2 linked regions of the Arabidopsis thaliana genome follow. The main gene of each other region encodes a partner of the protein of the gene in region 2 in a complex. Links are inferred from orthologs where the notes say so. Each region holds a gene or a part of one and is shown on either strand. Other genes may lie near its edges.

Region 1 (5,426 bases), on a different chromosome or scaffold from region 2:
ATTAAAAGAACACCCAATAATTTGTTAGGCACTGTACGAAGTATTTGAAATACAGGAAAGAAATACCATTCAGGTAATATTTCCAAAGGAGTTGCAAAAGGATCCGCAGGTTCACCAATCATTGATGGTTCTAAAACCGCTAAGCCTACGTTACAGGCAATGGTACCAAGAATAACTACTGGAAAAATATATAAAAGGTCGTTGGGCCATGCGGGTTCCCCGTAATAATTGTGACCCATACCTTTAGCTAATTTAGCTCGTAATACAGGATCATTCAAATCTGGTTTTTTTGTTATTGGGATAGGTGAATTCTTATGGATCCATCCCCCGAGGGAACCGGACATGATAATTTTTTATCATCCGGCTCGAGCAAGAATTAACCAAACTAAATGAATACATACAAAAAATATAATTTAATATGTAAAAATTAATTATCCGATTCCAAAGTTATTGCAACTAAAGATTCAAGAAATTCCATTCTTACAGGTAAATGCTCAACACCCACGTAAGCTTAAAAAGTTTATCATGATTAAGTGCTTTCTGGGTCGTCTCATACCTTATAAATTCGTCCTTAATCTCAACAATTATATCGAGATTTTTCAAATACAAAGGATTTACTTGTTACTAATGGAGTCTACCCTCTACTCTTCATTAGATCCTGTATTCACTCCGATAGTATCATAAATCGAGTCGATGCAGAGAAAATGAATGCATTTACATACTATTACTATTAATAATTATTTTCTTTTTTTTTTTTAGTCCAAAATAACTAAAAACATAATCAGGATTTTGTTCCATCCCTTAATCTACTGGATTTTACGGAGCCCACTCATCCACGACAGCGTCGGGTACGATCATAGAAAAGATTCTCTTCAAGTGAACCAGCCTATCCCCTGTATGGGGCTTACACAGTGGTTGGAACAAAGACACATTTGGTTGTGAATTCCAATGTAGCAGATAAAGTAATATTTCTGCACGGCCCGATCAATAGTTCAAGTCACACACTCCCATAATCCATTATCTCTTCATAGAATTCCCTTCAACTTTTTATGTCAAAAAAATAATAAAATATTGTGGAGTTGAAGGGAAATATCCAAATACATGTTTTATTTTTTTAATAATCCATATTTATAGCAATAAAATACTATCGTTCCTTCACCAAGTAATAAGTAAGTACAAATACCTAGAATCTATATTATTTATAAGGGACCAGAAATACCTTGCTTACGTATCATTAGGAAATGCATTAACATAAAGACGGCCGTAAGAAGAGGTAATACAAAAGTGTGTAAACTATAAAAACGAGTCAAAGTGGATTGTCCAACACTAGCACTTCCGCGTAATAATTCTACAAGAGGTGATCCTATTACCGGAATAGCGTCAGGTACACCTGTTACAATTTTGACCGCCCAATAACCAATTTGATCCCAAGGTAAAGAATAACCTGTTACACCAAAAGATGCGGTCAATACACCCAGAACCACACCAGTAACCCAAGTTAATTCGCGAGGTTTTTTAAAACCACCGGTGAGGTATACACGAAATACGTGCAGGATCATCATTAGGACCATCATACTTGCCGACCATCGATGAACTGATCGGATTAACCAACCAAAGTTAGCTTCAGTCATTATATATTGAACAGAAGCAAAAGCTTCAGTAACGGTTGGACGGTAATAAAAAGTCATAGCAAATCCCGTAGCTACTTGTACTAAAAAACAAGTAAGGGTAATTCCGCCTAGACAATAAAATATGTTGACATGCGGAGGAACATATTTACTAGTTATATCATCTGCAATCGCCTGAATCTCAAGACGTTCTTCGAACCAATCATAAACTTTATTGAGATAGGTAAACCAAGGTTACTCCCCCTCCAAGAACTGTATATGAGAATTTCATCTCGTACAGCTCAAACAAAAAAAGACCCAAATACTGATTGAAACAGATATGGAATATAAAGTTTTAAACTTGTCTCTCATTCAATATTATTTTTTATTATTTAAAGATATGAAAGAGTCAAAATGCGAAAGCTCGTCTTTGTGGTTAAATGCCAAAAAATCAAGTAAGCTCATTCGTCTTTATGTTGTGTTGATCGTTACAGGCCTCTTGAATCTTCTAGATTACCTATCTTTATTGTCTTTTTTTATTTGGTATTTGTATGGAACGGGGACAGGGATTTCTTCTTGTTTTCTTTATTATTGATAGGAATTCTCTTGTTAAGACCCTACTTAACTAATCAATTGAAACCTCAGATTCATACGAGAACCACGATAATTTAATGAAACCTTCAAAGTCCAAAGTTCACTGAGTGAGAACCATTGGATCATCACTTATTCAATAAAAAAAAAGCTATAATGACTAAAAACATAAAATACAAAGAAGCGTTTGTCCTTTGATCCAAATAAGAGTTTAAAAGCAGAAAATTTTTTTGATTTATTAAAGTTTATAAGATAGAACGGAAAGAAGTCCGGCTACGAGGTTTGAGTATTTAAGTATGAATCATAGTTCGAATACTTTGTGATCTATTTGATCTATTTCGTGCTCCAGATACTCGAATGAATATCCGACGAAGTAAAACCATCTTGATAAAGATGACAGACCCCATTCTCTGTACTATCCATAGGGTCAATTCTAACAAGTCACACACTCATATTCCGGAAATATACAATGCAGAAAAAAATTTCGCGGTCGAACTACCAAAGGAGAATAGGCTAAAATTGTTAGACCTGCATACTTTACTTTTTTGTATCGAGCTAAAAGCTAGAACTTCAAGATTCTTCTCAGTCTAATTCACTGAAATTCCATCCAGTAGAACAGAAGAATTATAAATCTCCAAAATAATAGATAGGAATACCGCAAATAGAGCCATTGCAACACCCATCAAAGGGGTCGTTCCCCATCCGGGAGCTACTTTACCATATTCGGAATTCAATGGTTTCAATAACTTCCCTACAGTAGTGCTTCTTGGACCAGATCTAGAACTATCTTCAACAGTTTGTGTAGCCATAAATCTTATTTTGTATTCATTACGATCTGTTGACTTTGTATACCATTCCGTTGTAAATAAATGATCTTAGCATAGATCCGGTGTGGTCTTTCAATTCTATAATAATGGAAACAGCAACCCTAGTCGCCATCTTTATATCTGGGTTACTTGTAAGTTTTACTGGGTATGCTCTATATACTGCCTTTGGGCAACCCTCTCAACAACTAAGAGATCCATTCGAGGAACACGGGGACTAGTTAACGTAATCAGCCTCCAAATATTTGGAGGCTGATTACGTTAATGAAGATAATGAAAAATTATTTCATTTTTTAGTTGAAATTTTAGGTGGTTCCCGAAAAAAAATAGCGAAAAAAATTATCCCTAAAGTGGATACTAAGAGAAATGTATAAACCAATGCTTCCATAAATTTGATCGTGGTTTACAATTATAGCTTTCATACCTGTTTTGTTTACGTTTTGTTTACTTGGGAGGATAAAGAAAGAAAAAGAGTCAAAGAAACGGCAGCGATTTAAATAAAGATTCCTACAGTACCCTACCTATTAAATAAAATAACAAACAGAAACTAGAAGAAAAAAAGCAATGTTGCATCAGACTGCTTGTCGTTTTGTAGTTGGATCTCCAAGTTTTTGGAATGCCCCGAATTCCACTTGAGCATCCAAATCTGGATCAATACCAGCAAAAACATCTCTGAAGAGGGTTCTAGCACCATGCCAAATGTGTCCAAAGAAGAAAAGTAGAGCAAACGAAGCATGTCCAAACGTAAACCAACCTCTTGGGCTGCTACGAAAAACACCATCAGATTTCAAAGTCGCACGATCTAATTCAAAAATCTCACCCAATTGAGCCCGTCTAGCATATTTTTTCACAGTTGCGGGATCACTATAACTCACTCCATTGAGTTCACCACCATAAAACTCAACAGTTACACCTACTTGTTCGACACTATATTTTGATTCTGCCCTTCTAAACGGGACGTCAGCTCTAACAATTCCGTCTCCGTCTACCAAAACTACCGGAAAAGTTTCAAAAAAAGTAGGCATGCGGCGTACAAAAAGTTCACGCCCTTCTTTATTTCTAAAGACGGGGTGGCCTAACCATCCAACAGCTATTCCATCCCCATTGTCCATTGAACCCGCTCGGAATAACCCCCCTTTTGCTGGATTATTACCAATATAATCATAAAAAGCTAATTTTTCAGGAATTTTCGCCCAAGCTTCTGATAAACTTTGATTTTCAGCCAGTCCAGCACTAACTCTTCGATATATTTCTTGTTGAAAGTATCCCTGATCCCATTGATAACGAGTAGGACCAAATAATTCGATGGGAGTAGTTGCAGAACCATACCACATAGTTCCAGCAACAACAAAAGCTGCAAAAAAGACAGCAGCAATACTACTGGAAAGGACGGTTTCAATATTGCCCATACGTAATCCTTTGTATAGACGTTGAGGCGGACGAACACTAAGATGGAATAGGCCCGCTAATATACCCAACGTCCCTGCTGCAATATGATGAGAGGCTATTCCTCCCGGAACAAAAGGGTCAAAACCCTCCACGCCCCACGCCGGGTTTACGGGTTGTACCTTTCCGGTTAGTCCATAAGGGTCGGATACCCATATTCCAGGACCATATAATCCTGTTACATGAAATGCGCCAAAACCGAAGCAAGCCACTCCTGAAAGAAATAAATGAATTCCAAAAATCTTGGGCAAATCCAAAGAAGGTTTTCCTGTACGTTCATCACAAAAAATTTCTAGATCCCAATATACCCAATGCCAAATAGCTGCCAAGAAGCACAAACCAGAAAACACTATATGTGCTCCGGCTACCCCTTCGTAACTCCAAAGACCCGGATTCGTTATAGTCCCCCCTGTAATATTCCAACCGCCCCAAGAATTGGTTATTCCTAAACGAGTCATGAAAGGTATAACGAACATACCTTGTCTCCACATTGGATCAAGAACGGGGTCGGAGGGATCAAAAACTGCTAATTCATATAGAGCCATCGAACCAGCCCAACCAGCAACTAGAGCAGTATGCATTATATGAACAGCAAGTAAACGACCGGGATCATTCAATACAACAGTATGAACACGATACCAAGGCAAACCCATGGAAATACCCCTTTATCAACGAAAAATAGACACTATGTAACTTTATTGCATTGGAAAAAACTATGCTACGTACCCCCCCTTTTTAGGTAATTATTTCGGAGAAAGGATTAATATTTGTTCTATTCTGTTAGTAATAATGGAACAATTCAATTCATAGAAAAAAAGGGAAGCGGATCTATTCTATATCCGATAAGTACCAATATGCAATGGGGGTTAATCCTATTTTCTATGAACCAAGATAGCTATTGTTGTTGATCATTCAGAAGCCCGTTCGTAAAAAATTTCCTTTAGTTTTATTCATTCTC
Region 2 (11,636 bases):
AACTTTTCCAAGTTGGAATATCTCAATCTATCCGATAACAATTTCGAGGGAAGAGTCCCAACAGAAGGAATATTTCAAAATGCTACTTTAGTTTCAGTATTCGGAAACAAAAATCTTTGTGGAAGCATCAAGGAACTGAAACTAAAGCCATGCATTGCCCAAGCACCACCAGTGGAGACAAGGCATCCATCTCTTTTGAAGAAAGTTGCGATTGGGGTCAGCGTAGGCATAGCTTTGCTTTTGCTATTGTTCATAGTTTCTCTAAGCTGGTTCAAAAAAAGAAAGAACAACCAGAAGATCAATAATTCAGCTCCTTTTACATTGGAGATTTTCCATGAAAAGCTAAGTTATGGAGATCTACGAAATGCGACAGATGGCTTCTCTTCGAGCAATATAGTTGGGTCAGGTAGTTTTGGTACTGTGTTTAAGGCATTGCTCCAGACGGAGAACAAGATTGTTGCAGTGAAAGTTCTAAACATGCAGAGACGTGGAGCTATGAAGAGCTTTATGGCAGAATGTGAATCTTTGAAGGATATAAGGCATCGTAATCTCGTGAAACTATTGACAGCTTGCGCTAGTATTGATTTCCAAGGTAACGAATTCAGAGCTCTCATCTATGAGTTCATGCCGAATGGAAGTTTGGATAAATGGCTGCACCCAGAGGAAGTCGAAGAGATTCATAGGCCCTCAAGAACTTTGACACTTCTTGAAAGGCTTAACATTGCCATAGACGTGGCTTCTGTTTTGGACTATCTTCATGTTCACTGTCATGAGCCTATAGCTCATTGCGATCTTAAGCCAAGCAACATACTTCTCGACGATGATCTAACTGCCCATGTTAGCGACTTCGGTCTCGCTCGTCTTCTCCTCAAATTCGACCAGGAGTCTTTCTTCAACCAACTAAGCTCAGCTGGTGTTAGAGGAACCATTGGGTATGCCGCACCAGGTAAAACTATTACACATATGGAACGTTTAAATGAAGAATATTTATGTGTTCCTTTTTTCATTACAATCTTGTTGTCGTTTTTGTGTGTGTGAATTATGGTGCAGAATATGGAATGGGAGGACAACCGTCAATACACGGTGATGTATATAGCTTTGGGGTTCTCGTTTTGGAAATGTTCACTGGAAAAAGACCAACCAATGAGTTATTTGGAGGAAACTTTACCCTGAACAGCTACACCAAGGCGGCCTTGCCAGAAAGAGTTTTGGACATTGCAGACAAATCGATTCTTCATAGTGGTCTCAGAGTTGGTTTCCCTGTACTTGAGTGCTTGAAAGGGATTTTGGATGTGGGACTTAGATGTTGTGAAGAATCTCCGCTGAACCGGTTGGCAACGAGTGAAGCAGCCAAGGAGTTAATCTCAATCAGAGAGAGATTCTTTAAAACCCGGAGAACAGCCAGACGTTGAAGTGTTTATGGTTTTCTCTACAAACTTTGCCATCCACTTAAAAGCCTTACTTTGAGGCCTATATAATATCATACTGTCTTTCGTAATCTGTGGTTTGTTTTTTTCCTCTGTTTATGCTCTCTTATTTCCATCATTGTCTTAAACCCTAAACCCTCGTTTCTCTTTCTCGTTGCTGCAAATCTAAAACGCATAATTGGGCTCCTCAATAAACCCTAAACCAGACAATTCTTGGATCTCTATCCTTGTCTTTTCGTTACTGTTTTGATGCTTCTTGTTTCCTGCTGTTAGGTTTTGGAAACTAGACTACAGTTTGCAGTTTCTTGGCTGGGAAGTCATGTAAAGCCAAATACAGAGACTCTTTAAATCCAAAGACTTGGGTCCAATGGTCGATGGGTCCATATTCGTGATAAGATATAAAGCCCATTTAGTTTTGTCAAGGCCCCAAGTACTGTTTAATGTTGTTGTCTTTCATTATATGTAATTGTATGGTTATGCCATAAAATTGCACTAAACAGTGCATCATGCATATAGACTTATCTCTGTATTTGGTAAAGATAATCCATTTTCTTGAACGTATATCTATATCAAGATTTTAAAGCTTTTTCTAAAAATCTGATTCTAATTTTTGTTAAAACAAATCTTATTAGAGAATGAGATAATCTACTCTAAAACAAGCTATTTTCTTTTCATACTTTCGTTTTCAGGAATAAATCGAGAAAATACAAATTTCATAACACTCAATATCGAGAAAACCCAAGTTTGTGTCCTCGTTAGGTCCGTGAACCCATCTCCATATTCTTCAACCCCCTACGTGGCAATAGATCAAACCGAAGCTATATCAACCAACACGTGATTCATTCTCATCCGTCAGATCAAGATCGATGAAGCCGCGATGAAAGCAAAATTTTCCCGAATAAACCGCGTCGCTTAGTTTAGCCGAATCCTTATCATTCATCACCTGTAACCGTCTCTACCCGTGGAATAAATAAATAAAACCAATCTCTTCTCTAAAATAGCACGCGCCTTTTCACCGCCTATATCCGGTAAATTAATTAAATAATTTACTAATTTTTCTCTCTTGGTATATAAACATACAAGGGCTTTTGTCTTCTTCTTCTTCTTCTTCTCTGTTTCTAACAAAGTTCAGGAGCTCTCGTAAGCCTCTGAATTCGATTTGACCTGACAACCATACAAAAAATTCTCCCGAGAAAATCTCTCTCTCAACGAACGAATTTCGAATCACCAAGAAGAAGTAAGCTCTCTCTCTTTCTCATTCTCATTCTCTCTTATCTTTCAATTTCTCGTAATCAATTTTGTCTTAATCTTTATAGCTTTTCTCGATTTATACAGATTCTGAGATTTGTTTGCGTTTCATCGGAATAATGGAAGTGAAAGTAGCAACAACGACGTCGTTTCATTGGTCAGGACGACACACAGCGATTCCTCAATGTCCGTCATTTTCGCAAACCCTAACTTCATCTAAACGCCGTCGTTCTCGTGGAATAGCCGGTGATGTTTCCGTCGGAGGAGGATCTTTGAGATTAAAACCTTCGACGTTTCTCGGAACACAATCTGGGAAACTTCACCGATCTAAATCATGTGAGCTTTGGCAATTTTCTAATTCCACCACGAAGAAGATTAGAACTGATGTGAAGAAGAAACATAATCCTTTGAGAAGAGTTTGTAGTGCGAGCTCCGGTTTCTTCTCCTCCGACGAAGCATTCTCTGTGAAAATGCAGGAATTAGCTTCACAATTCAGAAACGCAGGCGATGAAGAAGAAGAAGAGAACAAACAGAAATCAGAAGCAGTAGATAACGATAACGATAGCAATAATCATAGATTTGGTTCTTTGAAGCTATTACAAGAGTCTGTTCCAGGTTTAGCTTCTTTGGAAGCTCCATGGGCAGAGATGGTTAACCATTCAAGTATTGAGCGTAAAGCAAACAGTGTTGATTTACCTCTATCACTTAGGATAATAAAGAGGAAGTTACAAGAAGAAGCTCTTAAGAAAGCTAGTGCTACTACTTACTGTTCTATCAATAGAGCTTTTTCTTCTATGGTTTTCATGATTGAGGAGCTTCATAGCTTTGCGTTGCAGACTAGAGTGGGTGTTCTTAAGCAGGTTAAGAAGGAAATGCACGCTTCATTGTTGTGGATTTTCCAACGTGTGTTCTCTCAGACACCTACTTTGATGGTTTATGTGATGATCCTTTTGGCGAACTACACTGTGCATTCAGTTGCATCAAACCTACCTATTGCAGCATCTCCTCCAGTTGTTAATAAAGGTCCGGATCAGACGCAACAAAGGATTGATTTTTCTTCGTTAAAGGAGTCTACGAAGCTTGATGGGTCCAAATGGTTAGGATCGATCAATTTTGACAAGGTTTCCCACTTGCCGAGACATCGAGACTCGGTTTCAGGAGAAGGGATGAGAGAAGAGGAGGTGAGTCTGTGGAATTCGATGGTGGAAGAAGCAGATCAAATGCAAGATTCCTCTGTTGATCGTGACATGAGATTGAGACTTGTTTCACCGATCACTGCAAGGATTGAATTGGATGATTATGCCAATTACACTAGAACTGAGCTTTTATATAAGATAGGTTTGGCTCAAGAGCCTGACAATCATCTGCTCCTAGCTAACTACGCTCAGTTCCTTTACCTCGTTACTCAAGACCATGAGAGGTGAGATATCCTTTTAACCTATTCTTGCATCTAACATTCAAGACTTTATTACCTGTACTTTGAGAAGTATATGCTTGCACTTGACACATTGAGTATCAAAAGATTGGTTATGATTCTATGTAACTCTGGAACTTGACAAATGATGTTTGCTTTTGGTTATGTATTAGAGCGGAGAACTGCTTCAAGAAAGCAATAGAGTCAGAAGATGTAGACGCAGAAACGTACAGCAAATACGCCATCTTCCTGTGGAAAGTTCGGAATGATCTCTGGGCTGCTGAGGAGAACTTTCTAGAAGCTATATCTGCAGACCCTACCAACTCCTTCTACGCCGCCAACTACGCCAATTTCCTCTGGAATACCGGTGGTGAAGAGACGTGTTTCCCTTTAGAAGATTCTACTCAGGAAATGGTTTGAGAAGGAGCGAATGGCAGTGAATGGATGTTGGTTTGTTTGGAGTGAAGAGACAGCGACACGGAACTTAGGTACACGATAGAAGCAAGAGGAAAAGTGTAAGTAGTGTTTTTGAGTGAACCATTGCGGCTGATGAAACATTGCTTCTCTTTGGTTCTTTTTTCTTTTTGCTTTTGCCTAATTTTTCACTCAGTAGTATATACGGTCGCAGATTCCATCGAATAAGAACATGTGTAGATCCAACACTATTACACGAATAATAAACACTGAGCATTGCTTTTGGTGAAATAATAAGTGCGCATATTTGAATCGTTTAATGGAATTTATCTTGTAACTTTCTTCGAGCTTCGTTCATCAGTGTTGTGGCGCTACTCGTAGGAGTCTACTCTAGAGCTTTATATCCCATCTTGTCACAGTTCCTTTTAAAGAAATGGGCCTCGTCGGCCCAATAACAGAAAAAAGGTTTTTAGTTTTGATCAGAGTCTCAAGTTGCAGCAGCTAACAACCAACATGGTCAGGGACAAGATCACACACTTAAAAAAAATCAAGTCGTGTCTCTTCCGCATTCATACATTTCATTTGACAAATAAATTATAAATCTGAAATTGAAGACTTTGACTCTCTGTGCAAATTTCCGTTTAAGAACTTGAGAAGAATATACATAAATTGTGCCAAGATATATCTAAAAACAATTAAACCAAAAAAAATGTATCCAAGTGATTCAAAGAAAAATGTGTGAAGGGAAAAAAGAAAGAGGATAAGACACTTGTGGAGAGCTTGTGCCAAAAAAATCCAACGGCTCAGATTCAACCAACCTCGTTATAATCCCTTCGTAACAAATGCCACACGAAGACACACATACACACACTACCGATAAAGAAAAACCAGAGAAGAGAGAGAGATAACAACAATGGTTTCTTCGCTTCTTATGTCATTTGCTCCGGCCACCGTGAGGGTTTACGCCACAAGCACAAAGGGAGGTTCAGGCGGCCCAAAGGAGGAGAAGAATCCCATCGACTTTGTTCTTGGGTTTATGACAAAACAAGATCAGTTCTATGAGACTAATCCACTTCTAAAGAAGGTGGATGAGAAAGAAGGCACCACCACCGGAGGCCGAGGAACCGTTCGCGGTGGTAAAAACTCAGCTCCGACGCCTGTGCCGAAGAAGAGCGAGGGTGGATTTGGTGGCTTAGGAAGCCTCTTCAAGAAATAGAAGAAAAAAATGTATAGTAATTTGCATTATTCATGCCTCTGTTTTCATTCTCTATAATTCTTCGGATTTCACTTATATATAAGCTACTCTTTCTTAATCTTATTTGACATCACATGATCTAGTTATTTATTTTTCTGAACATTTTCAAGATTAACTCCACTACTTCGAGAAATCTGAGAATAATAGACTAATATGAGTAATGCTAATGCAACTTTTTCTGGAGTACAATGAGTGATGCTGTTGCAACCTTTTGTGGGGGTCTTTAAGATCTTTACACATATCAGTCTGGCTTTTTATACATATGAATCAATTATACACTTTTTTGCCAAGTTAAAGAGACTGTATCTAGCAAGAATACCAAATCTTAAAACACATCCACCAAAATCTATGAGTTATCACCAAAAGTCATATCCCAATATGGTTCTTCAAGTTTGATTCAAGTGTTCTATGCATGCTGGAACCATGGATGCTAAAGGGCAATGGTGATAACCAGATCTGACCTGGAGATACAGAAGGCAGCAAGGAAAGAGCTGATGATCCGTGTTAGATACTGTCTTTATAGCTATAATTGATGATAGAACAGAGTAGTTGTTAACTGGAGCTAGCTTGTGCTGGGAGCAAAAGCTCTTGCTTTCCTTCGACAAAGACTGCGAGTTCTTCTGGTGCAACCACCATGCTTAACCACTTCTGCAGTTCTTCACCTTCTACTTTCTCTTTCTCTGCACCAAAACATGATATTTCATCAGCAAAATCAGCCAGTTGTCACATGAACCAAACTCAAGACAAGGGATATAATCTTTCTCGCAAGCAGTTATATCCTTTAGTGTCCTACATGTTTTCAAAAACTGTTCTGATGAAAACAAATAAACTTATACTACACCTTCAAGTTGAGCACCAAGCCCTTCCAATACATCTGGATTAGCGCGTACAACAGACAGCGCAACATCGAGAGCAGATTGTAACAAAATTGTCACTTCTTTTTGAACAAGATCAACTAGTTTCCCCTGTGTATTAACATGGAAGGTTAACTTTTGCATGGACAATTGGAAATTATAAGACAACCTAGGCAAGTGCATTGCAACATGAAGTTACCTGATCTCTTCCCCATGGCGAGCCTCCAGAATCGTCAATCCCACCACCAGAAAGTGTAGCCACAGACACAGGTCCGATTTTTTGGTTAAGACCGTATTCAGCTACTGCCTTGTATGCCATATCAGTTGCCCGCCTTATATCATCAAATGCACCTGTTGATATACGCCCTGAGTAAACAACTTCTTCAGCTGCACGACCTCCAAGAAGGGTAACTAAACGCCCAAGCAGCTCATCAATGAAGAGTAAATATCTGTCTTCACTAGTAGGAGGAATGTATGTAAATCCCAATGCCCCTCCTGTTCTTGGCAATATGCTTAATTTCTGACAACACCACAAAGATGAGCAAAACTTGAATCATTTGCACGTACTAAACAACATAAACAATGAGCGTAAATGTAGACAAAGTTTTTGCATTTTACCTCAACACGTGGCTGTCCAGTAAGAAGATTTGCAACAGCGGTACCAACCACTGCATGCCCAGCTTCATGCCTTGCGACCACTGCCTTCTCATTGCCTTTTAATCTTGCAGATTTCTTCTCTATGCCCTGAAACAGGTCTTTGTAAGAAAACACATTTTGACAATTGCCTTACGTAATCAATAAAACAGCGAGGTTATAGAGATACCGCTATTGATCGCTCCACAGCTTGAATGAAGTCAATTTTCTCAACGTTCGTCTTGTTCTTTCTTCCAGCTAGCAAGGCAGCCTCATTTACCAAGTTTGCAAGATCTGCCCTGCAAATAGGACAAAAGAGTTTATGAGATATACACCCAAAAACGTATAACTGAATAAACTTCAAATCATTGATAATATACAAAAGCGTACCCCGTGAAACCAGTGGTCATTGAGGCAATACTACCGAGGTTGACATCATCTCCCAAAGGAAGCTCTTTCTTTGACACATGTACTCTCAAAATGGATTCTCTTCCAATTTTGTCTGGCGTTTCCACCTGAAAAATGCATCAGTGCCTTTGAAAAAACCATATTAAACATTTACAAATAGGCAGAGCTGATCCATTCTACCAACCGTAACAACACGATCAAATCTCCCAGGACGACGCAGGGCCGGATCTAAGACATCGGCACGATTTGTAGCTCCAAGAACGATAACCGCAGAATTGCTGTCAAAACCATCCATCTCCTGCAGAAAAGTTTCCAACATGTGAATGGGTCATGGAAAGATCAAGAATGCTACTTACACAGGAAAGGTGCTTGACAGCAGACTTACAGTGAGCAACTGATTTAAAGTTTGCTCCCTTTCATCGTTGCTCCCCATTCGGAATTTACCATCACGGCTTTTTGCCACAGCATCTATCTGGAGCATGAGAGGCAAATAGAAAATCTTGTTTAAGATGCCCAGAGGTTTAATATACCGGAGGTAATCTGACATCGACTACCTATTCTAACCTCATCAATAAATATAATCGATGGAGCTTCCTTCTTGGCCCGTGCAAAAAGATCCCTTACACGTGAGGCACCCATACCGACATACAGCTCTACAAACTCACTTGCAGAGCAACTTATGAAGGGGACTTCAGCTTCCCCAGCAACAGCCTTTGCAAGAAGGGTTTTCCCTGTTCCGGGAAGACCAACCTGGAAAAGAAAGGAGTCAAAGGCATATCATTCTAAAGGAGAGCTCTTGTAACCAAACGTTAAACCATGATATATACGTAATATAAGAATAAAGTGAAATCAAATGATAAAACTCACCAATAGGACACCACGCGGAGGACGTGCACCTAGACGGACATACTTTTCAGGATTCCTAAGAAATTCCTGCATTGATTAACCGATGTGTAAAAGACAATTACCAAACCGAGAATAAAGCTATGAAAAACAATCTGATCATCAATAAGCATGTGCAGCGTCTTTAAGGACTGAAAAACCTACCACGATTTCTTCTAGCTCTTCCTTTGCTTCATCAACACCTGCAACATCCGCAAAAGTGATTGTTTCACCTCCACCAGAGACTTTTCCCCCATCAGGACCACCAGCCTTTCGGGTCCTAAGCTGGCCGGTTGAACTCTGTGTACACCCATAGTTCTTTTAGGAAATTCAAAATTTTAAACAACCACATTAAAGTATAGTAGAGATGCAAACCGTGGAGAAGCTAACAGGGAATCGAATAAGCCCAGCAAGTACCGCTATGTAGAAAAGAGCTATCTGCAACAAACAAAAATAGAAACTTTTGAAAAGACCCAACCTATTTTATAGCACAATCACCATTCATTGCAAAACTATAAAGCATCATCATCAAGGAGTAGGACAAATAGTAAAAATGAAACTATACCAATGCAGAGTTGAAGAAGCCACCAGAACGCTTCTCAGGCGATCCAAATTCCACATTATTCCCAAGCATCTTCTCATACGGTGTTTTGATATCACCCGGCCTAGTAGTGGAATACACAACCCTTTTCGTAGGAGCCACAGTTCTTAACAACGATTCAGACGACTGAGACAACCTACTAGTTTCACTCTCTTGCCACTTCCCATCATCTCTTAACTTAAACAAAACTTGAACCCCATCAACCTCCACTTTCTGCACCTGGTTACTGTTAACTTTACTTAAGAACTCACTATACGGTACACTCACAAAAGTCGTCTGAATTCGAGGCTCCGATCCAGGTAAAGGTATACCAGGTCGAAGCAATCGCATCACAAACATAACAACACTCAATTGCAACAACAAAACTCCAATCCCTTGCGCTTGGATTATTGGCTGCCACTGCCATTTCTTGCCCTTTGACCACCACACCTTATCTTCTTTCTTCTCTCTTTTCCTCTCCGACTTCGCCGGAGTACTCTGACTGCTTTCTTCCTCCTCACTAGAACTCTCGTTCTGATCATCTTCTTGACAATTCACAACTAATCTACTCTTCTTTCTTGAAAACCCATCCCAAAGATTAAACCTTTCGTGATTTCTCAACACTGTAACTTGTTTCTTCTGCAGAGGAAGCGTGATTGAATTGGAGACAAACCGATTCGGATTTTGGCGATAAACCCTACAACGATCGTTGAAAAATCTCGAAGCTTTCGAGTACAATAGACTATTACTACTACAACAAGTTGCAAATCCGTGGATTCTTGGTTGCAGAAATTCGAATGTAGTAGTCATTATTTCGAAACCCTAGAAATTGGGGAAATCAAAGGTAACACATTTATATCGATCTGTCTAATTTTCAATGAAGACGATGTTTGCTGGGAAATACGACTTCGAATTGTGACCGTTGGATCAAAGATATTAAAATTCGACCGTCGATACAACGGAGGACGGTTAATTATCTCATCGGCAAAGCTGAGTAATCAAGTGTGACACGGCGTACGGAACCGAATGGTGCAAGAGGACACGTGGACATATAATTGGAAGAATTAATATAGAGTTTATTGGGCCGAAAGAGGCCCAAAATCGGCCTAAAAGACAAATCACTCAATCATACTCTTTTCTTTTCTTTCCAAATTTCTTGCATCTTCTTTCTTTTTTTTGGTAGGGTTGGGGGACAATGTCCCCACATTTTATTAATTAAAAAAATTAAAACTAAATCAAATACGAACATTATGTGGGTATGCAGACCCGTTCGCATCATCAAAGACAATAGAGACAACCACATCCGGTCTACCCTCGAACAAATAAAAATCTAAGGGAAGAGAAAAAGCATAGTTAGTTAACACATCCGTTAGGCGGTTAGTTTCTCTATGCACGTGAAAAAACGCGGACTATCCAGCCACGCGACAAAAAGTCATAGCACAAACGTATTAAGAAAGAGAATGGATGTGAGTTTGTGATTCCCGACTTAAGGAACCCCACCACAATCTCCGAGTCTCCCTCTACCTCCAACCTTGTAACCCATTTCTTGCATCTTCTTCTTACGAATAAAAATGTTTCTGAATGTTGGTTAGAAACAGAAATAAACATGGTACAATCAATCTGCACAAAATGATAAAAATGAAAAGACCATGATTATCGAAACGGTCAAGAATCAAGATTCATTTATTCAAGTAAATACTAATTAAATAACTGACTTTATTGCTCTAGACCTAATTCAAGAAAAGTATATGATTAATGTGTGGTAGTTGGTATGAAAAAGAAAAATAGATTGTTAGCTCCATCCACCATATGCTTCACTCTTAATCGTGGTCCTATTTTCTGGTTACTATGTTTTCTTTTATTGATCAACATTCGAAACTTTAGGGACTTTCGAAAACAAAGTAATTAATTATAAGTTTAGAATAGAAAAGAAATAAATCTAGCCAAACAAATCTAATGACAGTTTTGTCGGATCACCTCACAAAAATTTAGCAGTAATCAAAGACTTGTCTATATATAAGTTTTTCTATGATAAAACAACAAAACTTCTTAGTGTGAAAATTACAATGTCGTCATCTAATTTTAGTATCTTTTGTATCGTTCTTATTTTTCTAGCAAGTCTTCATGAATGTGGTGAGTTAATGTTATAAGTACTTTAGGTTTGGTTCAGATCGTCATTTAGCATCATTACCATTATAATCATAACCATAGTCTGAAAAAGGTTCATTTATTTGCTTTTGTAGATTCTTTAAGAAATCCTTTCAAAGATGACCCGTTAAGAAATCCTATCACAAATGAAAAAGTTAAAGAACCACCGTGCTATCCATATGGAAAACAGTTTAAATGCACAGGTTTTGCTGGAACTGTCGTTGTTGACACCGCCGATCGGTGTTGGTCTTTCTGTGCAGCCGCTAATAAACGTCCGTAGAACCCCAGCACCTCCTCCGATCCAAATGTTTGAAGAGCTTTTAAGTATACCAACCAAATGTTTTTATATGTTTACTCATATTATTAATCAAAA

The links.
Region 1: the proteins of AT3G47070 (region 2) and petB are in contact, whole or in part, in a cryo-EM structure (PDB 9ES7), measured with the Spinacia oleracea proteins. The link is inferred for Arabidopsis thaliana from one-to-one orthologs. Residues at the interface, in XP_056683494.1 of Spinacia oleracea: Lys44, Asp46, Gln47, Phe48, Tyr49, Glu50, Leu55; in NP_054964.1 of Spinacia oleracea: Pro28, His29, Pro214, Leu215.

What each region holds. Positions count from the first base shown.
Region 1 is NC_000932.1:72,066-77,491, reverse strand, and holds petB (cytochrome b6), read right to left. Parts: upstream 2,652-5,426; coding exon 2,646-2,651; intron 1,842-2,645; coding exon 1,200-1,841; downstream 1-1,199. Other genes in the region: petD (cytochrome b6/f complex subunit IV), read right to left, coding at 1-294, 1,004-1,011; psbH (photosystem II protein H), read right to left, coding at 2,786-3,007; psbN (photosystem II protein N), read left to right, coding at 3,112-3,243; psbT (photosystem II protein T), read right to left, coding at 3,309-3,410; psbB (photosystem II 47 kDa protein), read right to left, coding at 3,595-5,121. UniProt on the Arabidopsis thaliana protein: Component of the cytochrome b6-f complex, which mediates electron transfer between photosystem II (PSII) and photosystem I (PSI), cyclic electron flow around PSI, and state transitions.
Region 2 is NC_003074.8:17,331,288-17,342,923, reverse strand, and holds AT3G47070 (thylakoid soluble phosphoprotein), read left to right. Parts: upstream 1-5,190; 5' UTR 5,191-5,416; coding exon 5,417-5,719; 3' UTR 5,720-6,310; downstream 6,311-11,636. Other genes in the region: AT3G47090 (Leucine-rich repeat protein kinase family protein), read left to right, coding at 1-946, 1,051-1,412; AT3G47080 (Tetratricopeptide repeat (TPR)-like superfamily protein), read left to right, coding at 2,795-4,095, 4,263-4,509; ftsh7 (FTSH protease 7), read right to left, coding at 6,311-6,438, 6,600-6,723, 6,812-7,132, 7,231-7,356, 7,436-7,544, 7,636-7,760, 7,838-7,951, 8,039-8,125 and 5 more.